Diceros bicornis minor: one gene and its partners. The main gene of each other region encodes a partner of the protein of the gene in region 3 in a complex. Links are inferred from orthologs where the notes say so. Each region holds a gene or a part of one and is shown on either strand. Other genes may lie near its edges. The genes, in order: RGS16, HRH3, GNAO1 and C5AR1.

Evidence for each region.
Region 1: the proteins of GNAO1 (region 3) and RGS16 are in contact, whole or in part, in a crystal structure (PDB 3C7K), measured with the Mus musculus proteins. The link is inferred for Diceros bicornis minor from reciprocal best matches to the Homo sapiens genes GNAO1 and RGS16. Residues at the interface, in NP_034438.1 of Mus musculus: Glu64, Asp65, Gln68, Ser75, Arg86, Thr117, Val180, Lys181, Thr182, Thr183, Gly184, Ile185, Val186, Gln205, Arg206, Ser207, Glu208, Lys210, Lys211, His214, His236, Glu237, Asp238, Glu239; in NP_035397.2 of Mus musculus: Glu85, Phe86, Ser87, Glu89, Asn90, Glu124, Ala125, Pro126, Glu128, Val129, Asn130, Asp132, His133, Glu134, Leu161, Lys164, Asp165, Ser166, Arg169, Lys172.
Region 2: the proteins of GNAO1 (region 3) and HRH3 are in contact, whole or in part, in a cryo-EM structure (PDB 8YN7), measured with the Homo sapiens proteins. The link is inferred for Diceros bicornis minor from reciprocal best matches to the Homo sapiens genes GNAO1 and HRH3. Residues at the interface, in NP_066268.1 of Homo sapiens: Ile28, Ala31, Lys32, Asp33, Val34, Lys193, Asn194, Leu195, Asn312, Pro315, Asn316, Lys317, Glu318, Ile319, Tyr320, Phe336, Thr340, Asp341, Ile343, Ile344, Ala345, Asn347, Leu348, Arg349, Gly350, Cys351, Gly352, Leu353, Tyr354; in NP_009163.2 of Homo sapiens: Asn69, Asp131, Arg132, Ser135, Val136, Ala139, Val140, Tyr142, Arg143, Ala144, Gly147, Ile221, Ile225, Arg228, Arg232, Thr345, Phe348, Arg349, Arg352, Val356, Leu360, Cys415, His416, His417.
Region 4: the proteins of GNAO1 (region 3) and C5AR1 are in contact, whole or in part, in a cryo-EM structure (PDB 8JZP), measured with the Homo sapiens proteins. The link is inferred for Diceros bicornis minor from reciprocal best matches to the Homo sapiens genes GNAO1 and C5AR1. Residues at the interface, in NP_066268.1 of Homo sapiens: Ala31, Lys32, Lys193, Asn194, Leu195, Glu318, Tyr320, Phe336, Thr340, Asp341, Ile343, Ile344, Ala345, Asn347, Leu348, Arg349, Gly350, Cys351, Gly352, Leu353, Tyr354; in NP_001727.2 of Homo sapiens: Asn71, Phe75, Arg134, Leu137, Val138, Pro141, Ile142, Gln145, Ile225, Thr229, Arg233, Ala234, Thr235, Arg236, Ser237, Lys239, Thr240, Val243, Val244, Ala303, Gln305, Phe307.

The regions. Positions count from the first base shown.
Region 1 is NC_080743.1:84,786,115-84,793,718, reverse strand, and holds the start of RGS16 (regulator of G-protein signaling 16), read right to left. Parts: upstream 3,009-7,604; 5' UTR 2,915-3,008; coding exon 2,871-2,914; intron 1,961-2,870; coding exon 1,850-1,960; intron 1,082-1,849; coding exon 1,020-1,081; intron 736-1,019; coding exon 569-735; intron 1-568. UniProt on the Homo sapiens protein: Regulates G protein-coupled receptor signaling cascades. Inhibits signal transduction by increasing the GTPase activity of G protein alpha subunits, thereby driving them into their inactive GDP-bound form.
Region 2 is NC_080758.1:1,872,530-1,880,049, reverse strand, and holds the start of HRH3 (histamine H3 receptor), read right to left. Parts: upstream 3,015-7,520; coding exon 2,765-3,014; intron 1,729-2,764; coding exon 1,562-1,728; intron 384-1,561; coding exon 1-383. UniProt on the Homo sapiens protein: The H3 subclass of histamine receptors could mediate the histamine signals in CNS and peripheral nervous system. Signals through the inhibition of adenylate cyclase and displays high constitutive activity (spontaneous activity in the absence of agonist).
Region 3 is NC_080771.1:9,765,984-9,772,846, reverse strand, and holds the start of GNAO1 (guanine nucleotide-binding protein G(o) subunit alpha), read right to left. Parts: upstream 3,004-6,863; 5' UTR 2,360-3,003; coding exon 2,242-2,359; intron 2,025-2,241; coding exon 1,982-2,024; intron 1-1,981. UniProt on the Homo sapiens protein: Guanine nucleotide-binding proteins (G proteins) function as transducers downstream of G protein-coupled receptors (GPCRs) in numerous signaling cascades.
Region 4 is NC_080773.1:22,737,172-22,744,903, forward strand, and holds the start of C5AR1 (C5a anaphylatoxin chemotactic receptor 1), read left to right. Parts: upstream 1-4,730; 5' UTR 4,731-4,905; coding exon 4,906-4,908; intron 4,909-7,732.

The DNA of each region.
Region 1 (7,604 bases), on a different chromosome or scaffold from region 3:
TCGCATGCAATGACTGCCCAATAAATCTTTATGGAATAATGTGGAATAAATAAAAGTGCTCAGAAAAAAAAATACAAAATAAGACACAGAAGCAAGGCATTACTATTCTCCGTCCACAAGGTGGCCCCATGTTCTTAACCGAGTGTGGACACCAAGCAGTGGAGGCCTGAAAGGAAGGTTGACAAGCTCCCTGACCACAATCCTGCTGGCCAGAGGCAGGTCAGCCAGGGGACTGAGCCAGATTACACAAGGTCCCTAGGATGACCTGTCTCGCCAGGTGTCTAAGACTTTTGAGCCTCTAAAAAAGGCTCAGTCTACGAAAGTGGGTATGGACAGAAGCCAAAATACCTGCCAATCCCCCTGGCCCCATCTGTGAGTCTGAGGGTAATAGCACCCAAGGGTGGCATGGAGCCTGATTTTCCTAGTCTCCAGAAAGAAGCCCACTCACTACTGTGCCAAATAAGGCCACTCTACGCCTAAACTCAATCCTTCACCTGCTGGCCCCCACCACGGTGGGGAAGGAGCAGGCAGGGTCTGGAGGATTCATGGAATATGTCACGGCTCTGACCTCTTTAGGGGCTTCGCTGCAGATGAATTCCTCAAAGATCCGGTGAGCCTGGGAGGCCAGCTTGGTAGCCGACCGGATCTTCTTAAACTCCTCACAGGCCAGCCAGAACTCCAGGTTCTCCTCACTGAACTCTGTCTTCAGGAAAGTGTGGAAGGCAGCCACTCCATCTGGGGTTGGGATGAGAGAGGAAGAGACAGGTCAGACCATGGGACAGCCAGGAATAAAACAAGAAAAGACAGCAATTGTGGTTAATGGCTCTATTTTTAGGATGTAATTTTCTTGAACAAGGACCTGCCTTTGTATTCTGAATAGAGGCTGGCACACTAGGGGATCATTATTATTATTCCTACTGTGATTATTTTGCCCACGCTTTCAGCATCCCTCAGGCTGGCTCCCAAGCACATGAGCACACATGTGCCTTCCACAGACAGACACCACGGGGCAGACTCACTTTTACTGCTCAGCAGCAAGTCAAATGACTCTTTCCACCCCAGCACATCTTCTGAGAAGTTTCTGGTAGGGGAAAAAAAAAAAAGCCAAGATTTTAATTAAAAAAAAAAATCAACAAACTAACGTGTAGCACAAATCCTAGTCAGAATCCAAGGGGAGTTGCATAATTCACACAAAGGTTTGCTCGGTGATTATTGGAGCTGACACCTCAAACTCTTGGTTGGGGTTAGGGGAAACAGAGGACTATTTAGGAACCAGAAACCAAAGCCAGGGACCTTTTGGCCCTCAGTAAATATTTCTAAGGCCATCTCCTTGCATCCAAAATTGTTTCCATTCCCCTGACTCGCAGAGTTTTGTTTTGTACACTTCTCCAAGGAAATAAGGGCCTCATGAATAGAGATTATGTCTACCCATAACCTCAGAGCCTAGCACAGCACCTAGCATAGGTGACGTTCAAAATGAAAGGGTTTCTAGGCAAGGTGCATGCTAATGGAAGTACAGTCATTGATTAAAAAACAGGGGCCTCAGACCCTGTCCTGGCCTCGGTTGCATGCACAATGACATCTCCAGGTGGGAGAGTCTGGTAACTAGACATCCAGACACTGGGTACACTCATCTGTTGGTGGACCTAGAACCCTGGAGCCACCCACCCACTCACCCATGAGCCAAGCAGCCATAGCAGACCAGCAAGAAGCTCTAGCAAAATCTCCAGAGAGGGGTCGCCAAGGTCTGCCCTAGCATGTCCTAATTTCTCCTTGTATTTTCTCATGACTCCTTTCCTAAATCTGACTCCCTCCCTCTAGGGGCCCTCAGCTAATGAACAGGACTTACCTCTCTTTGCTGTGTTTACTGCCCCATTCAAACTTGCCAACACTCCCAGCATCAGAGCCCAGCTCTGATTTGTGAAGCAAGATCCCCAGCCGGGTCTTGAACTCTTTGGCTCTGGAAGACAAAGCGTGAGCATGTAAGGATTCTCTATTTGCTCAGCCAGGGCAGAGAGGTTTATGGGGTCCCAGAAGAGCTCAGGCTAGTGCCACCCAAATTCTAGCCTCAAGGGTTCCTGGGAACCCTAGGCTGTTCCCAGGGCCTAAACTTTGCTTCCTTCATTAGTGTCATGAAGCCAGAAACAATGAAAGCAATGTTTGAGCTTTTCCTTGGTAGGTCGTACGCTTTCTGGGTTTCCAGCACTGCACACATGGGCTTTTTCCCACGTTAAGTCACATTGATCTATCTCTGTGCCTGTTAATTAGCAGAAGGCAGTTCAGCACCCTCTGGGCTTGTCATGAATATTTCTGGAACTGTGTGGAAACTGATTCCTGCCTTCATTTTTACCTTTCCTTCCCAGCCACCAGTTCCAGTAAGAATGGGAGGTGGCTGAGTAGCTCTCTGGGAAGCCGGCACATCCCTCACTGGTGGACCCAAAAAACACCTCCCTGCTTCCCAGGGCCAGAGGAGGCCATGCCCCTAGATCTGGGCTATAGAATGAAAACCACGTGCTGAAGAAACTGGGGAAGACTCAGTTCTGCCTGGTGATGCCAACGTGGTCTTCCTGCAGCCAGGTCTTCAGCAGGTCACCTAAGAAGGACTGCCATTTGTCAGAGGATGGGGAATGGCAGTAAGCACTAGTCCCTTTGCTTCCCTTTGCCTTTCCTCCTCCCTTGTCTTGGCCTATGGCTTCCCTAAGATTCTTAGGGAAGCATCTAAGAACATGGAACCAAGCTGACCTCTGCCTCTCAAGTCACTAGCGTCCCATTCTCCCGTCCACCCAGGTCCCCAAGCCTGCCACTCCACTCCCTAAATGTTGGTGGGACCTGGACTTCTTCCTCCAGGCAGCAGGACAAGCTCCTCTTACCTCTCCAGACAGGTTGTCGGGAAGGCGGCCAGGGTCCGGCACATGGCTGCGGGTGCAGGGCAGCACGTCGTGGGGAGGATGGTGGCGGACTTCAGCGGCCACCGCAAGCGCGACGAGGCAGAGGAGCGGCAGCTAACACCCGCGCGCGCAAATTGCGTTTATTGAGCTGCTTGCGAGGAGCTGGCGCTACCGCGGCTTTTATTCTCTCGGAGGGGGCGGGGCGAGGCTGAGCGCCGCCGACCAATCGGAGAGCGGGACCGAGCGCGGCGAGGGCGGAGGCGGGGCGCCTGGCCGCGGGCTGCGCCTCCCCTACCCGCACGCAAACTTCACACCTGAGGGCACACGGGGCTGCGCGCTCCTCCCCCGGGTGGACGCCGGTGTGGGGAGGGAGAAGCGGCAGAGAAGTCACACGGAGATGAGATGCGCACACTCAGCTTAATAGGAAAAAACCCTCCGGGCTCCAGTAAAAGGAGGAAGGCGACTCACGGGGGACGGGAGGATTTGGCGGGGGGGGGGGGGGGGGGGGGGGACGGAAAGGAGGGGTACGTGGCGGGCAGGTCTGAGAGGCACACAAGTTATCGATCACAGCCGGATCCTGAGCCTGTTGGGTCCTGAAGGACAGAAGCAGAGTGCAAGCCAGGCAAGACAGCATCATGATTATACTCATAACTACTATTTACTATGCTCCTACCCGGATGGCCACAGAGCTAAGGAAGCCCTTTAGCATCATCTCATCATTACCTCCATTTTATAGATGAAGAAACTGAGAAAGCTGGAGACTTGCCCAGATCACAGTTGGCAATAGCAGACACTTGGCGGGGGAGGCTTTATTGAGCATCTACTATGTACCAGGCACTTTTATTAAGACTCAGGTTAAATAACTTACTCAAAGTTGCACAGTTAGTAAGGGTTGCACCAGAATTCAAATACGAATTTACCATGCTTTTTCCACTGCCCCACCCCCTCCAAAATTAGAATCCCGCTACCTCTGTAACTGATGAGTGATCCTGGGTTTAAGCGGTTGCTAGTTCAGTGTCCACATCTCATCTCTGAGATAAATGTGGTAAATGCTCTGCCTCTCTCCTCACCTTCCCATAAAGGCATTACAGCCTCCCCCATTGTCCCTCTGTTCCCTTTGGGATTGCTACCAAGGGGTTGCATGTGAGGTTAAGAGTGTGGGATCTAGAGCTAGATTTCTGGGTTTCAAATCAAGGCTCCACTGTTTACTGATGGGAGACCTTGGGCAAGCTTCTTCACCTTTCCATGCCTCAGTTTCCTCGTCTCTAAGATGAGAACATAATACACTTATTTCATAGAGTTGTTGTGAGGTCTAAATAAGCTAATTCTTAATTCAAGTTCTCCAGGAAACAGTTCTTCTGAGGCAGAGACTTGCTGGGGAGAGTTCTGGGAACTGAGAGAGAGTGAGGGAAGCCGGGTTGGGCAGAGGGAGGAGTTGAATGCCATGCCACTGCAACAGAGACAGAAGCTGTTCCCAGGGGATGCTCTGGAGTGGCACGGCCCTTTGGAGCTGTCCCCCACTGAGGCAAGGGGGCAGTCCTTTCGTCAACCTTTCATTGGATGCAGTTGCCCCAAGAAGATGGCCTCATCTTAGGCAAGGCAACTCTCCCTCTGTCAAGGGAACTCCTGGAGAGAGACTGCGCTATGAGCCTGCAGCAGATGACGTGCTGGAGGCTGGGGGATGAGGGCCTCAGTCCCAAACAGGGCTCTGTGCGGTGTGCCGCGGCACCTTCAACACGTAAGGCACTTAGAACAGCGCTCAGCACGCGGTCAGCACCCGATAAATGTTAGCTCCCAGGTTTACTTGATACGGAGATTGCTAGACAATAATGAGAAGTAGTGAGTTTTGTGTCTCTTGGAATTTAGGCTTTTATTTCATGAGGGGCATCTAAGAGCTGCTATTCCTCAGCAAGTCCTGGAAGTAAAGGGTCAGAAAGGAGAGAAACAAGAGGAGAAGAGGTTCCCCACCTGAGAGAGCTCGGTGAGGAGGCCCAGAAAAGCTAGTCGGGGAAGGCAAGAGAAAAACCACAGAGAGGAAGAGAAGAAGAAGGCCCACAAGACAGTCATTAAGGCGTTGCTAGAGCAAGAGAGGCCCAAATCAGACAATGTGTGGGGTCCTTTGTCAAAGCAGATTTCCTTGTTAAGCCAGGGCCTGCAGAAGATGAGCCGGTTGGTCAAAACAGAATGCACTCTGAAAAGCCAGAGTCGAACCCTTCGCCAACCTCCCAGTGGTTAGTGGAGCAAGGGGCAGGTCCAGCAGCAGCTCCCACATTGGCAGCACTGTCTCAGATGCCAGCATCCCACCCTCACCCCCATCTCGCTAACCTAGGCTCTTGTTCTTCCTCTCTCACAAGTCCAGGGCTGGAGTCATGGGTGCAGGGAGATGGGTAAGGGTGGAGAGGGGGGCAGTGGTCTGTGTTTCTCAGCACAGTCCTTCATCCACACGATGACACAGCCCACGCGGCCCCATCAGCAGGACGTTCTGCTGGAGGAGTCTGTCAGCTGAGGTGAGGGTTGTTGTTCCACCTGGTGCTGCTCGTGCCCCAGTGCACGTATTTATTATGCAGCTGCCAGGTGGGGGTGTGGGCGGTGTCTGGGACAGTTTTTCTTCCAGCGACAAAAACGAGTTTACGGATGGACTGAACCGCCAGTCTCGCCACGTTGGAATCAGCCCAGACATGGCCCCGTGACAACAACAATAGCGATCACACAGAGAACCTCCTCAAACCTTCCTGTCCTTTCTGCATCCCCGTGAATAGGCCAGAGGAGCTTTTTAATTCACATTTCGCAGACAACAATACAGCGGTGCCTAAGGCCCCCTGAGTCAAGTGCACTGGAACTGGAAACAGCTGAAACCAGGGCCCCATTTCCAGATCCCTGAGCCAGCGCTTTCTCCCATTCAACAAAGAAAGCAAAGAGACAAAGGATTGATGAGCGGGGCACATGCAGACAGGCAAATCCAATCCGGGAGCACAGAGCTCCCTGTTCAAGATGAAGAGCCCTCTCTGAGTTCAACCTGCCTCCCGGTTGCCATGGTTACCTCTTCAGTTTCCAGGCAGAAACTTTTTGAAGTTCACAATTTATCCCAAATTCTCTTCCCAGCAGGTAGGTCAGTTCATAACGGAAATTTCAGTAATGACTCAACAGTTGCTGTAAATCCAGCAGGTTGAGCTCACCCCTGAATTGCCTCAGCTTTGACAGACCCTGACCTCATTTTTGCCCGGGGCTTCCAGGGCAGCTGCGCTCTCTTTAATGGAGGGTGTGTGGACACAGCTCTGCAGCCTGGATCATCTGGGGTCAGCAATCCAGGCAAAGCTGGGGTCAGGATTAAACATCCTGCAACATCCCGGCCACATTGCCTTCCATCTCCTTCAGCCCCTCAGACCCCCAGCAGCACCCTTTCCACTGAGATGGGTGTCTAGACTGGATCTTTGCTGAAAACATTTTCTCAGCTTCTGATTTGGCACAGACGATCCCCACAGTGGTCTGGATGTTCCAAATTCAATCAACAATCTACCAATAAATATTTATTAAGAATTTACTCTGTTCCCAAGTCGGTGGGGGAAATAACAGCTCTTGAGGCTCTTCCCTGACTCTAATGACCTTATATTTCCCCCTGGCTGAGGAAACAGAACCAACATAGGAGGAGGGAGAGGTGAAAGGAAATTATTGCCTGGCGTCCCAACAGATGTCCAGGTAAGGGAGAGGTCAGAGAGGGTCAGCAGCGTTAAAAAAGGAGTCAGAGGAGTTTGAGTGCCGCCATGGACAACGGCCAGAATATGCGGGACGTGGAGGGATCACGCTTCAAGTGGGAGAAATAGCTAGGAAAAGCCTCTTGTAGTTTGGAGGTACAGCGAAGGTGCAGAAAGATTTAGGAATTCCTTACTCCCTGGCAGAGGTGCTTAGGCCTGCAGGATGCACAGTTGGGTGCCACTTCTAGCTTCGGAAGCATAAGAACAGCAGTGGCAGCACATATCATGAGGATGCTGGATGAGGAGGGAGAGATCATACCTGAAGACTTGAAAAAGACAGTCCTTGGGGGTCATTTCCCTGCTGGGTCAGGACAAAAACTGTGGGTGGCCTCCCCTCCTGGGGAGGAGAGTTGACCGAGTTCAGCCTGGGTGTAGGAAACCCTGTTCTTCCCTGATTACCTTTTAGGGCACTGGGTACAGCGCAAGTTGACGGCTGTGCTATTCCTCTGGTTTCTTCTCCTCTTTCCTCCCTCCCTCCCCTCCGGGCAGAGTTCTGAGGGGATGGGAATGTGGGAGGCCTGCTTCTCTCTACCCAACTGGGCAATGGACCCCTAGCCTCCAAGGCAGCGCAGTCTCAGCCACCTGGGGAGGAGGCTGGAACTCTTCAGTGGTACCCGTGGCTGGTAGGATCATGTCAAGACTCCTCTCTATGGCATAGAAGGCTCTAACCACCTGATCTCACATGCTTCACCTCACACCCTAAAAGCCAGCCAAACTCAGCGGTCGGCAGGTTACCACAGTCACCATGCTGCCTGCACCTACAAACCCCTGAGCATGAGGTTCTCTCGGCCTGAAGGCCCCTCCCCTTCCTGTACTACTCATTTTAAAAGATATTTTTCACTAAACTAACTGTATTTATATATATTGAGATATAATTTACATATAGTAAAATGCACAGATCTTATGTGTACAGTTTGTTCGATGAGTTTTGACAAATGTATGCACCCATGTAACCAATACCCAG
Region 2 (7,520 bases), on a different chromosome or scaffold from region 3:
CACCCTTTCTGCCAGCAGCCCCAGCAGCCTGGCACGGCTGGTGGTGGGGACGGCTGGGCCTCGGGCGCGGGCTCAGGGTCGGCCGTCTCGCGGGCCCCGTCCAGCCGGACGCGAGTGCGCCTTTGGATGTTCAGGTAGATGCTGAGGTTGAAGAAGGTGACGCTGAGGAAGGGCGTGAAGAACTCGAGCGTGGAGGCAGTGATGAGGAAGTACCAGTTGTAGAAGAACTCGGCATAGCAGTGGCCCTCGGGGATGGAGCTGCCACCGGACAGATACTCCCAGCTCAGGATGGCCGGCCCATACAGCAGGAAGGCCAGCACCCACACCAGCACCATTTTCCGCACCGCCCGCCTCGTGTTGCCCTGCTGGGCCCGGTAGGAGACCTGCGGTGGGACACGCTAGGTCAGGAGGGAAGGGGACTGAGCCCAGGCCGGCAGGCTGCTGCCTACTGTGGCAGGAATATTGGCCTGGGGGCTCCTCGGCAGCCTCTAGGCCTCTGTGCACTGCCTTCCTTCACAGCGATGCCTTTTCCTTCTCCTCCCCACCCTCTCTCCCCTCTGTGCCATGCATCTTGGGCTGGCTGATGCCCTGTCACATTCTCCTATAGCCTCAGAACCTGCTCCAGACCAATCTGAATGCTAACTTTGTGCCAGGCTGCCTGTTTAGCACCCCCACCAGCTGTGCGCTCCCGGGGGGGTGTCTTGTCATGGTCCCCTGTCTACTGAGTACCCACTGTGCACCAGGCTCTGTGCTCAGCACCTTTTGGATATCATCTCACTTAATCCTCAACAACTCCGTCATTATCCCCACTTTCCCGATGGCTCAGGGAGGGAGGGAGAGACCACAGGAAAATCCGCTCCAGGGGACAGAGCTGAGGTTTGACCCAAGTCTGTCTGACCCCGACCTATGCTCTCTGCACTCTGTCCCACAACCCCTCTAGACTGGGACACATGTGGCACCCCCAGCAGAGGGCCCTGGGGTGCCCGATAAGCCATCAAAGAGAAGATGAGAAGGCAAAGGAGAGACCTCCGTGCCAGTGCAGCTGTGTGCCCGCACGGCACTGACGCAGGAAGCTCAGGTCCCTAACTCATGGTGGCCACTCACACCAAGCGAAGCCTGTGAAGCCAGGAGCCAACACCTGTCTTCCAGGGGCGCAGACATGAGCGCACACGCGCGTGCGTGCACGCGCGCACACACACACACACACACACACCCCTGTGGTGGGGAAGCACCAAGGACCTCTGACCCAGATCCTCCCTCGGCTCCAGGGACTTTGGACCTGCCCCAGGGTGGAAGCTGAAGTGACCCCCTTCCTTCAGGAACACCTGATGCCGGGTCCAGACTGTGCCTCCTGTGTGTCCCAGGATCAGTCCTACCCGCAGCAAATGGCTACTGAGTGGGCAGCCAGCCATAGAGCACCTGGTGTGTCAGGTGTGAGGTCAGCAGGGACCAAGCCCACCTGGCACCACCTACAACTAGGAAGGGGGCAACCTTTGCCTGGTGCCTCCTGTGGTCCCCCTTCCTCCAGGAGTGAATGTGGACACCCTCATCCCAGACTCACGGCGCGAGTGACCGACAGGAAGCGGTCGTAGCTGATGAGCACGATGTTGAAGACGGAGGAGGTGCAGAGCAGATAGTCCACCACCAGCCACAGCTTGCAGACGCCCCGGCCAAAGGGCCAGCGGCCAGTCAGCACATAGGGCACGTACAGTGGGATGCAGAAGGCCCCTGTGGGAGAGTAGGGCATGGTGGGCCAAGGCTCGACAAGGGCCTGGGGTCAGACCCACCACAGTGGAGAGACAGGCAGGACCTGGGAGTCACATGGTGGCCACCTTTCTGGGACCAGCAGCCTTCACCTTACCCACCCCTCCACTTGATCCCCTCAGCACACCTTCTACCCTGCACTTGCCTTCAACCCCTGCCCAGCCCCCAGTCCCACTGGAGTCCCCTGGACTTGGGCGCAGGAGGGAAGCTCCAGGCATGGGCAGGCACCATGACACCCCGAGCCTTAATTTGGTACTTCCCAGGCTTTGTTCAGCCTTCCCAGTCCCCAAAGGGAGGAAGAAGGAACATCTCCTCCCCTCTCTGGCCTGCTGGACCCCTGCGCCTCCCCTGGCCTTTGGACAGCTCTTCCTCATCAGCTCAGAAAGCGAGAAAGCCTTTCTCCTGACTCAAAAGGCGCTTGGCCGCCGCCCCGCCAGCCGCTCCCACCGCCAAGCCCGGCTCACAGCGCTGGCAGACGCACTTCGCAGCCCCAACAGGTGTCTGGCGCTCCGGCCCCCTACGCGCCCCGCCCCCAGCTGGCAGCAGCGCACGGACACGTGAGAGCGCGCTCCTAGAAGCATCTCCCCACGCCTTCCCCGGTCCCCTCCCTCAACACTCTAAAAACCCCCTTCCACGTCCCCTCCCCCAAATCTCCCCCCAGCGCCCTCCGCGCGTCCTGAATCCGCCGCAGCCTTTGTTTGGCTACAACGCAGGAGCCAGCGCTGCACCCGCAGCCGCTGCGCCTTGCGCCTCGCCGAGCGCCTGCCGGCGCAGGCCCCTTCCCGGGGAACATCCCTCCCCAGCACCAGTCCCACAGGCAGGGAGGCAAGGAACTTCGCCAGCGCCCACCGCCCCACGATTCCTGGACGCCTCCTCCCCAGGCCGGGCCCCCTGACGGGGCGTGTGCCCGAGCGAAAGGCACCCTAGGTCCGAGCTCCAGTCCCCACTGGCCGGGCGGGGCTGGGCGCTCCTGCGCTCGGGCGGCGACTGGGGGCTTTACCCACGAGGAAGTCGGAAATGGCGAGGTTGAGCAGAAAGAAGTTGTTCTGGGTGCGGAGGCTCGAGTCGGCCACGAAGGCGAGCATGACTAGCGCGTTGCCCAGCACCGTGGCCACGATGAGCAGCGCCATGAGCGCGGCCAGTACCGCGGTCCAGGCAGCGGAGAAGCCGCGCGCCCCGCCCGCCGCCGCCGCCTCGCCCGCCAGCGCCTCCGACGCGTTCAGCGGCCCGTCGGGCGGCGAGCGCTCCATGGCCCCGCCGGCTCACGCGGCGCCGAAGCGCAGGGCAGGGCGCGGACCGCCGGCCAGTCGTCCGGGAGGGGCCCCGGCCCGGGAGCCTGGTCTTTGCGGGCTCTCAGCCCGGCCGGGATCCCCGGGCGGTGCCCGGCGCATGGTCCGTGGGCGCCGAGGCCGGGGCAGGGGCCGGGGCGGGCGGCACCGAGGGGGCCCGGGCCGGAATCCGAGCCGAATGGGGCCAGAGGCACGACCACTGCAGCCCGAGCGGACCCGGAGCCGAGCCCGACCCGGAGCCGCCGCCAGAGCGTCGGCGCGCCCCAGTGCAGCGCGCAGCCGAGTGCGCCCCGCGCCCAGCCCGCCGCCCCCCGCGCCCCGCGCAGCGCCCCCGCCATTGGCTGCCGCCCTCGCCCCGCCCCCGCCCCGCCCTCGTCCCGCCCGGCGCCGGCAGCACCACGGACAGCGCCGCGTGCCCGCCCGGCCGCTGGAGCCCCAACCCCGTGCGCACGGCTGCTGGCGGGGAGCCCGGCCCCGGCAGGGCGGGCGCCGCGCTGGGGGCTCGCCTGCGGTCGGCCGGCCCGCGCACACAGGAGCCGGCCTCTGGGCCGCTCGGACTGTCCCGTGCCCTCAGGCCCGCTGACTCCTGGCAGGCCTCCGTCCGGATCCGGCGCACCTGCAAGGACCTGGAGTGGGGGCGGAGGAAATACCTGCGCCCGCGCGCGGGGAACCTGCCCCGCGGGACCCGCCTTGTTTCGCGCTCGGGCAAGCGGGTCTTGGGGGAGGGAACGTCCCAAGGAGGAAGGATGGGAGGGGTCTCCCAGAGCGCGTGCGCTGGCCAGGGGTCCACGCCACCCCCACGTGCATGGGACTCTGGGTCTCAGTCTCCCCGTGGGCCCAGCGCAGGGTCCAGGGTGACTTGCAAGGCGCAGACAGATGTGGAGTTACATAAGGGAAGATGGGGAGCCAGTGGACCCAGCCAGGAGAGGAGCGCTTCCACCTGGGGCTCAGGCGGCCGCAGGCTGAGGACGGAGCAGCCAGCGACTCGGAGCCCGGCCAAGATTCCCCCTGGTGGACAGAGCGGTGAGGCGGTCGCTGCTGCAGGGACAGACGAGGTCACTGTGATCGGAGCACAGCGAAGGCGGCGGCAGCGGCATTAGCGCCTGCGGGTATGGAGGAGGAGAGGCGGCAGGAGGGAGAGCCCCCTCCCCCCAGACACACGCTCAGATAGACAGGGTCAAGGACAGATTCAGCAGGAGACACTCACGGCGAGACAGACAGACACGCCCACACGCAGACACACAGACACCTACAGACCAGGGAAACAGCCGCCCAGCTAGGGATCCACGAATGGCAGTTAGACACCCATCAGACAGCAGACAGCGAGGGAACAGTGCCTGAGGGAGAGGGAAGCAGTGACTCTCTGCTCTGTCGCCAGCGGCGCACATCTGCAGAAGCCTCAAAGAGGATGGGAACATGAGTATCTGCGTGTGGGGGTGGGGGCTGCGAGGCTGCCGGGAGGAGAGGAGGGGTGGCAGACGGCCCCCGAGGCACTGGCATGCACGGGCACCCCCACACTTATAGCAGCTGTCTGATCATGCCAGGACCCACCCCTTCCCCTAGCCCCAAGAGGTGCTTCACAAACTTTGGGGAGTGGGGGCTGGGCTCCCTCTACTGCCTCCTCAGGGTTGCTTGCAGGGAGGAGACCCCAGATCCTGCCCCAGCAGACACTCTTTCACGGCTTCTCGCAGCCTGTGCTGGGGGATGGGTGGGGGGCTCCAGCTCATCCTCCCAGAAGCTCTTCCTGAGTACTTGGCTACACTCCTCCTCTCCACCAGTAAGCCCTGCTCCTCTTACAGGCTCCCCCAGCTTCCCCTCACTGCACCCCAACGTGCCTGGTGGGCAGGGCTGTGCCAGGACCAGGCAGCTGGTTGATGGTGAGACAAGCCGGGGTGGAGAGTTCCTGGAGGGGCAACAAGGTGCTGCTCCCATCGTCCGCGACTTCCTGAGCCTCTGGTGCTGAGTTAGCACTCATGGACCCCTGCTCAGCCAGCAGCTGCCTGCTGAGTGGAGCCCCCAGGCCCTGCTCCTCCCCAACTCCCCGGAGGCCAGCTCTGGCCAGACAGTGCTGCAGGGGTGCTCCCCTGCCCCCGGGCCTTGGGAGATGGAGTTGGATAGGGGTTGAGAGGGGGGCTCTGACTCTTTCAATCACTGGCTGGGAGCCCCCTCCCCAGTCTCAGGATCCCCACTTTGGAATGGAGACTGTGTGCTGCTTACTGTCAGGGTAGAGGGCTGAGTCAGGGGGGAGTCTGTGTAGAGGGCGGCCCCTTTACAGTCTCAGTCAAGCCTAGCCACAGTTGTCCTTGTGGCTATCAGTGTTCTGGGGCTTTCCTTGGTGGTCTCTCACCCACAGCTGGGGGGAGAGATGGACTCAGTTCAGACCTGGGCACCGGGGGCCCAGCTGTGTGCCTCGGGGGAGTTACCAAATTTCTCTGAGCGTGGAGATCTTCCTCTGTGAAGGGAGGCCACCAGGAGAGGGAGGGCCAGGATTGGCCCAGAGGTTTGAGGATGACCATGGCCAAGGGTGGTGAGCACCCCCCATCTGCACTTAGATGCATGACCTCATTAGCTCCCCACTCCCCCTACAAGGAGAGTAGAACCAGTAGCCCCTGTCCAGAGCGGGGAAGCCACCTACCTGCCCCAGGTCACACAAGGCCAGATGCTGTTCTCTTAATGGCTACACTCCTGGCCCTGAGATCAAGGGCCCTGAGGCGAGCAAACGTACCAACTCTTAGAGCATTGACCTAGTCTGGACAGGAGCCTGGTGTCCTCTGGGCTGGACCTAACTTGGCCAAGGCAATTCGGAGTGAATAAGGCAGGTCCCCATGTGGCTGTCCACAGGGCATCTTGCCCTGGGGGCTCTGACCCAAGGACTGGGTATTCAGGCCCCAGGATGGCTGGGAACCCTCCAAGACGCTGGGAAAAGCTGGCTAAGGGTTGGGGGACAAGGGCAAACCCCTACTCTCGGCTCACCCAGACTCCCTCAAAGAGAGTGGCCTGGGACCCTGGTTTCTTCATTTGTCAAAACAGCCGGCATCTGGGGTGCAAATTGTCTAGTCCAACAAGGAAGCCATTGGGCAAATGCCCCATCCACACAAACCGTAGCCAGATTAGCCAAACCAGACCCCCTGCAAACCTTCCCTAGGAGATGGCTCCCCTACTGACTCATCAATTGATTGGTTCATTTGTCCATTCAACAAGGTTTTATTAAGCACCTAAATTCAGGCTCTCTGCTAAGTCGTTTTAGTGTAGGGAGGCAAGTGTAACGCAGTAAGTAACGCACACGTCAGAGGTTACAAGTGCTCTGGAGAGAAATGAAGCAAGGCAGGGGACGGGGAGTGCCAGGGCACGAGGCCCAGGGGGCCGTGGGGTGTAAGGGGGTGCAGTGAGCTGACAGCCCCCAGTGGCAGTGCCTTTGGGGTCTGCTGCTGTGTTGCAGCTGAGACGAGGGACACATCTTTCCAGTGGGCAGAGCTTCAAGCACCTGGTCATGCCCTTTGTGTGGACGGAAAAGTGGCCCAGTTGAGAATATCTATGGATTCAGGGGCAGTGGCCAATGTCCTGGTGGGCTGGTCAGGGGCCTGGAAGGAACAGGATGGAGGTGGAGACAAGGGGCTCTGGGCTGGACCACATGGATGGACATGTGACTATGGGCACCAGCATGAAGGTTTTTGTGTCACACACAAACACCCACCAGGAAGCATCCACTAGGAAGAGGTGACAGCAAGCCCCTGTCATTGGCCACCCATAACTGGCATGACAGCACAAATGAAGTGGTCTCGCCAGAGGTCACGCATGGACCAGGAGCGTGGACTCCCCCCTGCAGAGGCTGATCTGGCCACTGCCACCTCTGAGTGTCTGACCCACCACCGACTTAGACCAATGCTGAGCCCCCAGTTTGGCACCTTCCCTGAGGAGAACAAATCACCACCTGGTGGTGAGTTGACTACATTGGGCTGTGTGGATGGTCCTCACATACCTGCTTAGGTGTGGGCTTGCCTCATCTGCCCACAGACGCTGCACCACAATCCAGGGCCCCATGGAGGCTTGACCCATGGGCATGGAATCCCATACAGCACGGTACTCAACCTGGGGCCCACTTCCCAGAGAAGGACGCGCTAATTGTGTCGCCCGCCACACCATCCCGGAGCGGCTTGCTTCACAGGATGCAGGAACAGCCTTCCAAAGGCCCCCCCGCATGGGGCAATGCCTGCGAGGAAGGGCACCATCCTACAGGATGCAGTGTCCAAATCAGAGACATGTACCTGACACTGCATTTCCAACAAGAAGAACACGGTTGTCTAGGATCCTGGGTGGAGGCTGGCGTGGCCCCACTGGCACCCCTCCCAGCGACCCACTAGGGTATTTGTGCCTCTGCCACTCTGGGCTCTGCAGGGTTAGAGGTGGGCTCCCCAAGGGGCACACTCTTACCAGGGGACATGGGAAGGGTCCCGTTGATCTTGGCTA
Region 3 (6,863 bases):
CCGAGTCCCTGCGAGCCCCGCGCCCAGCACAGGGCGAGCCGAGCCGAGTGCCGCCGAGCTGAGCCCCACCGACTTTTCCGGCCTCGGCTGGGCGCTGTCCACCACTCGCAACGCCTGAAACCTCACCCAGCTCCAGTGGCTGGGGCTTCTACCCGGCTGAGCCCGCCACTGCAGATTACGGACTTCTGAAGTTTTGAAACGTCCCCCTTAGGGAGAAAGGGATGGCGCTGCTTGCATTTACCGACCTGCAAGGGTTCCAGGCAGATGCAACATGCACCTTGTTGCAAAGAGCAATTCCCCAGGCCCCGCCTCCCCGTCCATTTGGGTTGCACAAGCTCCAGAGAAGCCCCAGGCCAAATTACCCGTGGCTCAGAGGGGTGCGGCGAGCCGAGGGGGCCTCTGCAAAGAAAGCCCCGGGGAGCTCTCGAACAAAAATAAGAGCACGTCAAGCAGACGGGGGAAATTGTCTCCGAGTCGCTACTCCCTACCATCATGGCGCCGCCTAGAACCCGCTTGTCATGCCTGTTACACATGCAAGATTTTTTGCATCTTGTTCTGAAAGCAAAAGCATGCTTCGTCTCCCACCCACCTTTCCACGAAAGGGGTTTTTATTTTCCATTGTTTTCCTACGGGATGCAATTACTTCGCCTATGCTGTCAAGTTGAAAAATAATCATTTTTGTTTACTGCACAGCAACCTCTAATTAGGAGCTGTGTGTGCACGAAGGTGTCACAGCAAAGCGACGTGGAATCCTCGCTAAACGGTCTTAACGAACTCCTCCGTCCCGAACCGACAGGCCAACGGAAGCAGCAGGGCCAGGAGGCCCTGCGGGCGCGCACCCCTTCCCCGCCGGCCACCCCCTCCCCCAGCAAAGCTGCCTGAGGGCTCACCAGGAACTGCCGAGCGGAGTGCATGGGGCCAGAAGCGAGCCCGAGAGTGGGAAGGAGGGGCGAGGCTCCTTATCGAGAAAGTGTGGAAGGGAAGAAATATCCCATTTTGTTTTAATTTTCAACCATCACTCAAATCCACCCCCAGTTAATTAGGAGGGGAAACTGATATCTAAGGCAGAAGGGGGCGGCGGCAAGCGGGGCCTGAAATCCGCATTGGGGGTAGATTACATGGAACACGGCCTATGCAGAGTGTAAATAAATACATTGATAAAGGCCACAGAGTGAAAGAAAACTGCCAGTGTCAGGAGAGCGAACGCTGGGAAGGGTGGGGGAGGAAGGGCGGCCAGCAAGGGGCGGGCATTCAGCCTCACAGCCAGTGTCCCCCTTCCACCTCTGCCTTGGATACAGCTGTGCCAGTCACATAAGCTGGGAAACCCCCACCCCCTTCCCTACCACACGCCCCCTCCCCTAACCCTCGTCCTCTTTTTGGGGGGAGAGGGGGCAGAAACCACAGTCTCCAATTCAGCACCAAATCCATGAACAGCAGACACTTGATCATCCACCCCAGTCTAGGGCTGGGTCCCCTCCGTGTTTTAGCCAAGTTCAAAATCACTGCCCCAGGAGGAGAGCAGGGCGAAGTGAGATTATGGATGTGGGGTGGGGGGTGGAGGGAGGAGGAGAGAGAAATAGAGACAGAATGAAACAGAGACACAGAGACAGAAATGCAGGCATCAATACACACGAAACACCCCACGAGCAAGAGTAATGATCATAATCATGCCAATAGTGTGATGTTCTGATCAATATGGCGGACACTGTCATTCATACAACTACAGGCGCTCCCCTTCCCTCCCCCCCCCAAAAAACACCCACCCGGGGAGTTGGGGTGGAGGACTCAGAACCAACGTTGGGCGTGGGGGAGGGGAGTCAAACCCAGGTCTGTGTGTGTGTGTGTGTGCGTGTGTGTGTGTGTGCGTGTGTGCACGAATTAAAAACTGGGCCCGGAGAGCAATGTAGAGTGAGCAAGGTAACACAAATGATAAAAAATTATTCTTAATAAAAGTACAAATCCCAATGGCACAGGGACTTACTTCATCTGCTTCACAATGGTGCTTTTTCCTGATTCTCCAGCCCCTGTTGGGACAGACAGGGGGGAAAAACTGGTGAGTGTCAGCTTAGGGGAACGGGGTGGGCAGGGGGATAAGGCATGCGAGGGGGTGGGCGATCCTGGGCACATGGTGGTGCCAACTCGGGACCAGGTCTTCCCGGGCCCGAGTGGGGTGGGGGAGCTGGCGGAGGGGGTGCGGAGGGGCCGGGGTCTGGGGATAGGGGTGGCAGCCCCGGTCCTTACCCAGCAGGAGTAATTTCACGTCTTTGGCGGCGCTGATGCCATCCTCTTTGAGGTTTTTCTCAATCGCCTTGCTCCGCTCGAGGGCGGCTCTCTCCTCTGCGCTCAGAGTACATCCCATGGTGGCCCCTTCCCTGCCACAGCCCGCACGACTCGGCTGGCACTGCTCCCCGGCTCGGCGCGCCCCCCACCCCCCCAGAGAGCAGAGCCTGGGCTCAAAGGGGAAAAAAATCACGATATCCTCCCCTCGGCAGAAAACAAAAATGTCGGGAAACCAGAACCCCCCAAAAAGACAGCCGCTAACAAGATTCCAGCAGCGGAGAGTCGCGGCAGCTGGCGCGGCTCTGGGGGTGTCGAGGCGAGGGTGGCCGGGGTCTGGGGATCCGGAGCCCAGGGAGGAGGCGCCCGCGGTCCGTGGAGGCGCGGGCTGCAGGCACTGAGGCTTGTGCACGACCCAAACTAAATAAAATACTAGTCGAGGCAGGAGCCGCAGCCCGAGCCGGCGGAGGGTGGGGTGGGGGGCAGGGTGGGTCCTTCTGCCGCTGCTGCCGGAGGAGGAGGCGGCGGCGGCGGCGGCGCGGGGTGTGGAGGGAGCGAGTGAGGGGGTGCTGCTAGTGCATGTGCATCGCCGGTCCTGAGCCGTCGGTGCGTCCGCGGCGCCTTCGCCGACCCCCGCGCGCTGGGCAGGGCTGGGCAGGGGGCCGGGCCGGGGGCAGGTCTCTAGCGGGAGGCGGCGTCGCTGTCTCCCAGAGCTCGCATCGCTCAGTGGAGCCTACCGGAGAGAGAGGGAGGGCGCGAGGGAGCCGCGGGCAGCCGGGAGCTCGAGGGGGAGAGAGAGAGAGGCTGGGAGGGAGGGGAGAAGAAAATGAAGGGAGAGCGCGCGCGCCACAGCCCGGGCGGGGGAGGGGGCGAGTGCGCCAGCGGCTCTGCGCACCCCGCACCGCGAGCCGCCCGCTGACGTCAGCAGGGCCGCGCGCCGGGCCCCCGGGACGGGGAGGGGCGGGGGGCGCAGGGGGCGCGCGCGCCCGGGCCGCGTCAGCCGGCGGCGGCGCGCGCTCGGCGCGGCCTCCCCTCCTCCAGCGCTCCCCGGGCCCGCAGCTCCCCCGAGTGGGCGCGCGCGGGGCCTGGTGGGGGCGGGGCCTGGGGCCGGGCGCGCGCCGGGACGCCCCTCCCCGCCCCCGCCCCCGCCCCCGCCCCGCGCGCCCGCTGCGCCGGCCTCCTTGTCAATGGGAGCGCGGGGCCGCGCCGCCCGCGCGGCGGTCAGGCGGGTCCCCCGGCTCGCGCCCCGCGCCACTTTTCTCGCTCTCCGGCTCCCTCTCCATCTTGGCTCCAGCAGCTCGCCTTCTTGATTGTGCTCCTGCTGCTGGGGCCGTAGAGCCGAGGCCGAGCGTCCTCAGCAAACGCGAGGAGACAGTGGGTCAGAGTAAACCTGCGTTCCCGATAATTCGCCTCTGGGGCATGGGGGCAGATTCGGATTTTTCGCTTCCTGCGTCCCACATTTATTGAGCACCTAGTATGTGAGAGAGGAGGCTGTGAGCAGGGGAACACAGCAGGATGAGACAAAGCCAGGGCCTGTTCTCTGGGAGCCTCTGCCTGCCTCCCTTTGCCATCGCGAACTCTGCTCCAGGATTCCCGGCCATAGGTATCAGCGCAGGAGACAGTTCCCACCATGGGAAGCTTTTGGAGGGGAGGACAGGTTTTCATGCGAGTGAGCTTCTAGCAAATGCTTACTCCCTCAATACAGAGTTGAAACGCTTTTGCTCTTTTGGACGGTTTAGCTTCGTTGAGATCTTTGCGCTGAACTCTCTTATCCTGCCCCTTCCCAAAACACAAATACATAAAATGAAATTTGAATAGATTTTTGGTGAGAAAAGAGATTTTCTTCCTTTCTTCATCTTTTAAAATATTTTTTCCCATCTCTTCTTTTAAATAAAGACTGAGAAACCCGGGTCGGTTACTCAGCGTACAGCTAATCAAATACTGAGGAAACACATAGACATTTGCCAAAGATTGGGCATGTTCTGGGTGGTCTCTGAGATTTTGAAGAAACTAGTTCTCATGCACAAAATGGTTTTACAATCAGTTCCACAAGACAGCCCCAGGGGCCCTCCTAGAGAAAGGGGCCAATAGGAAAGGTTGCATGGGGATAAGAGAGGCAAGCGGCCAGTGGAAAACGTTTTCTTTTTAACAGTTGGGCATTGCTGTGGCTCTGAAAGCAAACTTGTTTGTTTCATTTCAACAATAGAAAAAAAACACCCCTCTTTTGGAAACGTTACCCAGCATAAAAATACATTTGCAATGGGGAAGAAAAAAAAGGCAATTAAGGCCCACCCAGAAGAAAATATTTTTTTCCCCTGAATTTTTTAATTTGTTATTTCCCAGTATGGGTGTGCCTCATTCTACAAATAGCTATCTATGTCAAAGTTGTACATAATATAATTAGAACATTTAAATTTGAATCACATTTTGCATATTCTAGAAAACAGACTAACGACTCTTATAAAGAATTGTTTTATAAAGTAAATAATTGATTCCCTACTCCCCTCTGGCAGTCTCCTTTTGTGTGTGTGTGTTGGGGAGGGGGGTGGCTTAGGGGATAAATCTGGTTTGCTTAAAATCAGAGTATCACTAAAAATCAGCCTTCCAGATCCAAAACAGACCTTAGGTACCCAACATTCTATAGAATTTGTTATTTCCTGTAAAGGTTGCGAGGATGATTATGCAGATCTATCAAATAAAGGGAAAAAAATTCAGCAACCTCACCCAGATTCTGCTATCCCAAGGCTGCATCTGAAAGATTGAAGAGGTAAGAATACAACCATTTCATTGCAGATGGTGGGTCATAGTTTACATTTTAATGCTCTTTCATATCAAGTAATTTTTAATTTAAGATCTTAGGCTCTTGAGGCATTGTGGCTTTTATGGTTGAATCAAACTATCCTTGATTTTAGGTTTATTTATTCCTTCTTGGTATCATACCTGGTATGGTGGAGGCACAAACCTGTGTTTTGTGTTTTTCTGTACTCACTCAGTACTTATTAAGCACCTACTTACCATGTACAGGGTAATGTTCTAGGCACTATAAATGTTGTACTTCAGGTTTGTCCTCCCTTTTTCTGGGTCACTTTGCATCTTTATAGTTGGGCTTCACAAAAGACTAATAATAATCTGCTTCATTTGTATAGTGCTTTATAGCTAACAGAGCACTTTTGCAAAAATTATCTCATGTGATCCTCCCACAGATCCTCAGTTAGGCACTGTGGTGTGGGGAGAGTCATGGCTGAGTGGAAAGAGCCTGGACCATGAATCCAGATCGACCTGGGTACCCATTTTACAGCTAAGAAAATTGAGCCTCTGAGGGGTTGAGTAACTTGTTCAAGGTCACACAGTCATTAAGTAGTAAGCCAGTGCTCCTTTTACATGTTTGTGGACTATTTAAGAAATAACATGTAATATAAAGCATGCTTCCTAGACTCACAGAAAGCTTACAACCTCAGAACCCAATCATATTCTGGTCCCCCCAAAGGAAGTGAAAATAAGGACGTCTCAGTTCTCTGAGTTATTAGTAATTAGATAATACCACAAGTGTTTAGTTTGTCTACAACTAATTCCTGTGAGAATGGAGAAATTACAATCCTAATATCAGGACTGAGGGACAGACACTTAGATCAAGGACAGATTCCACTTGGTTTTATTTTATACGATCCTCAGAATTATATTTCTCTGATTATTGCTGTTGGCCAGAGAATACCGCTCATTTACCCCACCCTCAGTCAACTATCCCTCTTGCCACACACACACTGTTCAGCATATTTTTACTTTTAAAAGTAGGCAATTAGAATGTTTTATATTCTCTCTAAAAGGAACAACAGCAAAGCCTACATTAAGTTGCTTTTTTACTGCGTGTGGCTCCTAATTCTGGAGGACAGTAATTTATGACATAAGCAAGATTCCCTAGCTCTGACTTAAGAATGTGGGCTCTGATTAGATGAACTGAATTTCCCTATTTGTTCCTTTTTTGTGATTACTTTAAGTAAATATGCATGTATTGACAATCTACTATCTATAAATTATTGATTTAGACTCAAAGGGAGGTTCAGATTTAAGAGCTTAATATCTTGAAATCGTGAATTCTCTGGAATGCTTTCTCAAAACCATTCACACCAGAATCAGCTGGGTGCTTGTTCAAAATTCTGTTACCCATCTTACTTCTACTAAGTCAGACTCTTCTGCAATCTGCACTGATAGCCACTCCCAGGTGATTTTTCTGTACACAAGGTGCTAGGTCTTATACAGACTCTGTGTATGCCAGTTAATTCTGCTAGGAGCTTACTTTCTTTTCTTTTCTTTTCTTTTTTTTTTTTGGTGAAGAAGATCAGCCCTGAGCTAACATCTCTTGCCAATCTTCCTCTTTTTGCATGATGAAGATTGTCACTGAGTTAACACCTGTGCCAATCTTCTTCTATTTTGTATGTGGGACACTGCCACAGCATGGCTTGATGAGTTGTGTGTACCTGGGATCTGAACTTGCGAACCCCAGGCCACCGAAGTGGAGCATGCAAACTTAACTACTATGCCACTGGGCCGGCCCCAGGAGCTTACTTTCTTAAAGTCCAAATATCTCA
Region 4 (7,732 bases), on a different chromosome or scaffold from region 3:
GTGCTTTTGAAACCACAGGTCTTCCTAACTACTGGTGAAAACAAATCTTAGCAAGATAAGGATAAAAATCTTTTCCTTCTTCCTCCACAGTCTCAGGAAAGCAGGCATGGTTGTGCACCATAAAAATGCCCCTGTAAATGTTATTTCTAACAAAGGAACCTTATAAGACATCCAAACTTCAGATTTTGCTGTTATGTTATTATGTCCTAAGTAAGTAACTTTTAACCCCTAAAAAATCTGTCATTAGCATTGGTTGTTGTGTAGTAAAAAATTTAGCCTTGCCCAAAGAGAGCTTTGGCCTCCGCCCTCGGCTCCTGGGAGGTAATTGCTAAGCCCTTAGAATGTCCTGCCTGATAAAAGTGTCTTTGTTTACCTGGGGTCTTAGGCCTCTCCAGTTAGTCTAACAATGTGACTTATGGTGGGAGCTTTGGGTCCTGTGGTATCAGCTGGACCTCCAGAGGGGCTGCAGACTGAGATCAGCCATGCTGGTGGCCAGCCAGGTCTATGTGACCAAACTCCAGCAAAGCCTGGACACCGAAGCCCGGGTAAGCTTCCTGGTTGGCGATGCTCCATCCATATTGTCACACACTGCTGCTGAGAAAAAGGTATCCACGACTTCTCTGGGAGAGGACAACCAGAAGCTATGAGTACAGAATGCTCCTGGGTTCTGCTCCGTGCGTCTCTTCCCTGGGCTGACTTTAATCTGTACCCTTGCGATGTACTAAACTGTAACCATGAGCACAATAGCTTTCAGAGAGCTCTGAGAGTCCGTGTAGCAAGTTATCAAACCTGAGGGGGGGTCTTGGGGACCCTCAAACATGCCATCGGTGTCAGATTCAGGGTGGCCTTGGAGCCTCCCCAATTCTGCAGTTGGTGTCAGAAGTGGGCTGTTTGGCTTTTCACAGTCATCTGACTTAATAGTGTACGGCCCTGGTAGTATTATTTGAATTGACATCCCTGTTTTCTGGAATATGTAAATATGTGTGAATTTTCTTTGGTAAACCAGAAGAAAATCATTGGCACATCCTTTTTCTCTCATACATTTTCCTCTGCTAGATTTCTTATTGAAGCAATAATAAATAAGATTGCCTTATTTAAATTAAAGCTGTCCTTCCCGATGCTGTTTGTGACTGGCTTCTAATTGTCCTCTCCTATGTATTTTCCCATTTGTCCACTGGCATGGAGGTTTAACAGGACACAGGAACACCCAGCTCAAGACTGAGTCTCTCAGCCTCCCTCGCAGCCAGGTGCGGCCAGGAGACTGTGTTCCAGCCAGTGAGCTGTGAGTGGGAAGCCACTTCTGAGTCTCGCCCTTAAAAGGATTGGGCATCTGCGCCCCCGACTCCTTTTTCCCTTCCTGTCGGGGTGTGGTGAGAGCACGAGCAGCCACCTTATACCCCAAAGTGGAAGCCATGAATTGCATATGATACGTGATAGAAAAAGGAACTTAAGCATTAACACTCGGAAACGGCTCTCCTTGTCAAATCGTGTGTGCACCGTGGCACGGGGCTCTGACTGCCTGGACAGGGTACCTCTTTATAATTCACACAAAGGCTCCGGCTGGGGTGATGGTGGCTCTATAGTGCTGTCCTATAAACATATAATGTGAGCCACAAACGCAAGCCTCAGAGGTAATTTTAAATTTTCTAGTGGCTGCGTTACCAAAGTAAAAAGAAACAGATGAAATAAAAATAGTAGCATTTTTAATAATATAATTATTATATGTTAGATTAATATCAATGATATTAATGGTATATGAATATATCATAGTCATATCATAGTAGTGATATTTGTTAGGTTGTTACCTATAATGATCTTTAATATGTAACAATAACAATAATATAATTAATAATATAGTTTGGGGCCGGCCTGGTGGTGCAGTAGTTAAGTGCGTGCGCTACGCTGCAGCGCCCTGGAGTTTGCAGGTTCGGATCCTGGGCGCGGACAGACGCACCACTTGTCAGGCCACACTGTGGCGGCGTCCCATATAAAGTAGAGGAAGATGGGCATGGATGTTAGCCCAGGACCAATCTTCCTCAGCAAAAAGAGGAGGATTGGCATTGGATGTTAGCTCAGGGCTAGTCCTCCTCACAAAAAAAAAATAAATAAATAAAATAATAATAATATAGATTGCTTAACCGAAAATATTATTTTAATATGTATTACAATATAAAAATTCTTGAGATCTTTTACAATCTTTTTTTTTGCAGTAAGTCTCTGAAATCTGGTGTGTGTGTTGCACTCATGGCACATGTCAATTCAGACTCTGCACATTTTAATTACTCAGTAGCCACATGGCTGGTGGCTGCTGTACTGGACAGTGCAGGTCTCGGTCTTCAGGAAGAGGATGGAGAGACGCCAGCATAAAGGTTACAAACATTGAGAATGGTGTCCACCCACTCTGCCTTGCAATTCCATTTCTGGAGAGTTATCTGCAATAAATCCTTGTACACAGGCACCAGGATGTGTGGATGAGGGTGCTCGCTGTGATGTGAACAAAAATATCGGAAACCACCGAAAGTTCCACCCACAGGGAAGTGGTTTCATAAACAGGTTTCAAACTAACAATGGATTTATGATGCTACTAAAAGGAAACAAGGTGTTTTTCAATGTATTTACAAAAACATTATTCCGAAAAAAAAAATAGGGATAAAAACAGTGATAACAGCACATGATTGGAACAATTGAACAAATTTGCATGAAGGCTGCGGATTACATAATGGTGTTGTATCAGTGTTACACTTCCTTCAATAGTTGCACTGTGGTTATGTCAGAGGACATTCTTGTTCTTAAGAGACACACACTGAAGAATTTAGAGGCAAAGAGGCATGATGGTTTCACTGTAATCTCAAATGATTCGGGGGAAAAATGCAAATAGATCTGTAGATATGGAGATGGGTATGGACCTCCCCCGTTAATTTCCTGGGCTTGCTACCCTCAGAATTGCGGGAGCCAATTCTTTAAAACAAATCTCTCTCTCTCTCACTTTACTATTGCTTCTGTTTCTCTGGAGAGCTCTGATGGATACCCCCTTCCCCTCCCCCACCCCACACACGAGTATACAGTGGGAGCATACTAATGCACGCGGCGCAGATGCAACAATGAGTGAATCCGGGTGAAGGGTACGCAAGAGTTACTTTAACCCTTCTTGCTACTTCCCCTTAAGTTTGAAATTACACCGAAATTAAAAGTTGCCAAAAAGAAAAATATTCTGAGAAGGGGTTCATAACTTCACCAAGGGTCCAGGGCATAGAAACTGTTGAGAATCCACGATTTAAGGCAATGCGCAACTTGGGTCCAAAATCCTGAAACATCAAGAGCGTGTGGCCTGGCCGCCTGAGTCTCCCCGGGCTCAAGCGCCCCCTTGAGGTCCGAGTCGGAATAACAACACCGCATTCCTACCAGCCCCAAACCCCCGCCAACGCACTTGCAAAAATCCTTGCTGAGCCATGCAGACCACACGCATGGCTTCATTTAGTGGAACTAAATCTTGCTGCACGTCGTGCACCCGCATGTCCATTCCCAAGCAAACGCCACGTTTGTGCAAGTCTGGGCGAATACACTCCAAACCGCTGAGAGGAGTTTCAGAAGGGCGGCGGTCACGGGATTTTTCAGTGGTTTTTTTTTTTTTTGGTGGGAGGAGTGCGTTTCTGGATTGTTTACATGTTTGCAATGTGCGTGGGTTACTTTTGCAACGAAAAGGAAGCTAGATCCTTACAAACTGAAGGTTGCTGTAGAAAAATACTATTTGCGGAGGGAAGATGTGGATGATGTATTGCAGAGTTGCAGAAAAGCCTGGGGAAAATGAGCCTGTTTCGTGCTCTTTGTGATAACCATGACCATTGTGGGAGGCGGGAAAATGGGTCCCAGTGAGGTCCACATCCCAGTTCCTGGAACCTGCTGCATGACCTTAAAGAGCAAAAGAGACTTTGCAGATACGTTAAGGATCTTGAAATGAGACTATCCTGGATTATCCAGGGAGACGGTAAATGTAATCGCGAGGGTCCTTATATAAGGGAGACAGAGGGAGATTTGAGACACACAGTGGGAGAGAAGATGCGACCACAGAGGCCGAGGCTGGAGTGATGTCCACAGGCGAAGGAACGCTGGCAGCTGGCGGAAGCTGGAATAGCCAGGCGGAGATTCTTCTCTAGAACCTACAGAGGGCGTGTGGCCCTGCAGACCCCTTGATTTCGGACTTCTGGGCTCCAGAACTGCGAGAGGATAAATCCCCGTTGTTTTAAGCCCCCTGGTTTGTGGCAATTTGTTACAGCAGCCATAGAAAACTAACATAAGACCCTTCCTCACGCCGGGCTCCAGCCTGTGTCCGCGAGAACTCAAAACGAGGCTGGAAAGTATGGTTGTGGCTCGAGGGACGCCAACGTTACAACCCTAGGGAGGAAGATTTAATAGTCCCCAAGTGCTGGGCCACCCCCGCAGACCTGCTTAGCCTCTCTGGGCCTCCAAGAAACCTGGATTGAGGCTCACAATCCCCGCTGCCCGGGACCCCAGGAGAGTTTAAGCCAGTTAGAACCCTGAGCTGCCCGGGGCCCTAGAAGGAAAGAGAGAGATGGTCTCAAATGGGGAAACTAAGGTCCAGAGAGAGGCCAAGCCTACACCGGGGTGGGGGTCTCTTTCATCTGGCTTCCTCTGTCCTCGGACAGGAACTTCCTCAGTTCTCTGAGCCCTGACCTCCCTCCTCTGACTGGTGTTTAGAGCTCCGCGGGTGTGTGCCCATAAAGGAGTCCCAGATAGGGTGTCCAGTGTGCAGACCAATGAGAACCCCAGAGGCGACAGATGGGTCATTTCCTCCCTGGTTATCTGCACCCTCCCTTGGGGCCTTAAAAACCACAGCCCTCAGGCAGGAGGGATCTCAGATCAACGGGGAACCCAGGAGACCTGAATATGGTGAGTCTAGAAGGGGACCCTTGTACCGTGCTCTCTCCTCTCGGGGCCCCTGTCTCTCTCTCCAGCTCTCCCCTTCTCGCCGTCTCTCCCATTCCTTCCTGCTTCTCCCCATCCTCATTCCCCCCGTCTGCCCTCACTCTCATCTCAGACTCTCCCACTCCCGGGCTGGGATCCAGGAGTCCCCCAGGGCAGGAAACCCTTGCTGTTGCCTCTGATAAGATGACACCCTTCCTCAAGGGGAGTCGTCCAGGAAAGGCCTTCCAGGCAGCGGAAATGGCAGGAGTGAAGGTTGGGAGGCTGGAAAGGGCCAGTCTGGAAGAATGGTGAAGTCACGTGGACTTTCAGATGCTCTGAATGGTAGAGATGGGGAAACGGAGCCACAGGTAGGCACGGAGCTGGCCAGGGTCCTTCAGTGGTTGGTGGCAGAACCAGGCTGTCTCCCAAAGAGGGAGACTGTCTCCAGGCTAAATGAGGGGCCCCCTTGCACACCTGCGCCCTGAGGTCTGTGTCTCAGCGACGCAGGGCTGTGATTTAACACCTGCGTGTAGAGGATCTTGTCTTGCTTCATCGGGGTGAAAGGGGAAGTGGAGAACGTGTTGGCTGGACCAGGGAGGGAGTTGGCTCATTCTCCTCATCCCACTTTCGAGACCCGACCTGGGCTTTCAGAAGAGGGCCCATGATTATCTTCAACTTCTTCCATCTATAAAATAGTCCCACATACCAAAGGGGTAGTCGGTGGAAAGCCACTCTCCCTGCTCCCCCCGGCCCCCCCCCCCAAGAGCCTCAGACTCCTTGTCACTGCCCCAGAGGCAACTGTGGGTACCAGTTTGTGGTGTATCCTTCCAGAAATGATTACAGGTGCTCCAGGGAATGAAGTAAGGAGCAATTTGACACGGGGGGTCAAATTGAAATGTGGTTCAAATTCCGCCTCTCCTGTGTGATAGCTGAGGAGACCTGGCTTTGCTGGGTGTCCTTCCCCTTATCTTCTTTTTTTTTTTTTTTTGTGAGGAAGATCAGCCCTGAGTTAACATCCGTGCTAATCCTCCTCTTTGCTGAGGAAGACCGGCTCTGAGCTAACATCCACCCCAATCCTCCTCCTTCCCCCCCCCCCAAAGCCCCAGTAGATAGTTGTATGTCATAGCTGCACATCCTTCTAGTTGCTGTATGTGGGACACAGCCTCAGCATGGCCGGAGAAGTGGTGTGTCGGTGTGCGCCCGGGATCCGAACCCGGGCCGCCAGTAGCGGAGCGCCTGCACTTAACCGCTAAGCCATGGGGCCGGCCCCCTTCCCCTTATCTTTATGATATGGCTAAAAGTCCTGCAGAATTAGAGCCTACATCACAGGATCATTGAGGGAATTAAATGAAATAATGCATGGAAAGATCTTACAACAGTGCCTGGCATACAGTTGGCGCTCAATGCATGTGACATGTTTATCCCTTCTCCACCCCTTTCTCTGCAAATAGAAGTATGTTTTACATATTGTTTTACATCTTGCTTTTCTTCATGAATCATGTATATTATTAACCAGCATTTATTGAGTGCCTACTGCATGTGCTATGCAGTTTACATTTAATAATTTCATCTTAACCTGTGAGGAAGGTACTATTATCATCCCCATGTATTTCAAGGGAGTTATCTCTTTCTTTTTATCAGCTGTATAATATTCCAATGGGAGCTTCCATCCCCTATCAATGGAGATTTCGGTTGTTTACAATATTTTGTCTTTCACACCAAAACTATATCTTTGGACCCATGTTTGGGTTTCCAAAATTGCAAATGCTGAATCTAAGGCAGAGGTGATTTTTATTTTAACAGATATCGCCAAAAGCTGTACCAACTTATATTTCCCATCTACAGTGCATGAGACTGTCTGTTTGTCTACACCATCATTGCACAGTTATATCAAAGTTTTTTATTTTTGCCAATCTGAGAGGCAGTTCATTGCATCCTCAAAGGATCTGGAGGCTTGTCTTTTTCACATAGTTTTAAAAACGTGTGTGTTTATGTTTCTTAATGCATAGGGATTGGAATCACAAAGGTCGTGCAAATTCAGGAAGATAAATCTGAGTTGAAATGTCTGCCCCCACCCTTCTATCCCGTTTCTCAGAGGTCATGGCCTATAATAGTTTCATGTGGTTCTGTGGGTGGATTGTTTAAAGACTTTGTGTCCCTGCAGGAAGAGGGAAGGGGATGTTTGGGGGAAAAAAGAGGACTTTGCCTTCCGTGTGTTTACTGGCTCTGGCAGCGTCCCTAAGTGGGTCTGTTGTTTTCACTGTGATGGGGGGACGGTTGGTAGGACTTTCTTGCCTGAAAGGATGGGGAAACTGAAGCCCAGAGAGGAAGGGAAGGGGCTGGGGCAGGGTGTACCACGTACCAGCCGCATGACTGTGGCCCAGTCATGCCTCTTCTCTGAGCTCTCAAATCTTAACATTTTTCTTCCTCCTCTTGGCCATCACCGCCACCCATCCCCATCTTCACTGGCCTGGGTCCTCGCCCCAGCCTCCTCTCTGGTCCTTCTGCCTCTAATCTCACCTCCTCACAGCGCCCAGAGGGATCTTTCTAAACTGAAACTGTAATCTGGTCCCTCTGCAGCTCAAAAACCATCCATGGCTTCCCATTACCCCAGGAGTGGCATCTGTGGATCTTCCAACCTAGTCTTGGCCACTTGCCAGCCATAGTGACCTTCTTTCATTTTCTAGATGAGCACACTTCCTCCCTCTTACCTTTTGGCCTTTTGCCTTGAACGCATGCCCCTCACTTCCACCGTACTTTAGGCCTGGAAGCCACTCAGAGAGGGCTCTGGAGTTCGACTCTCAGAAGT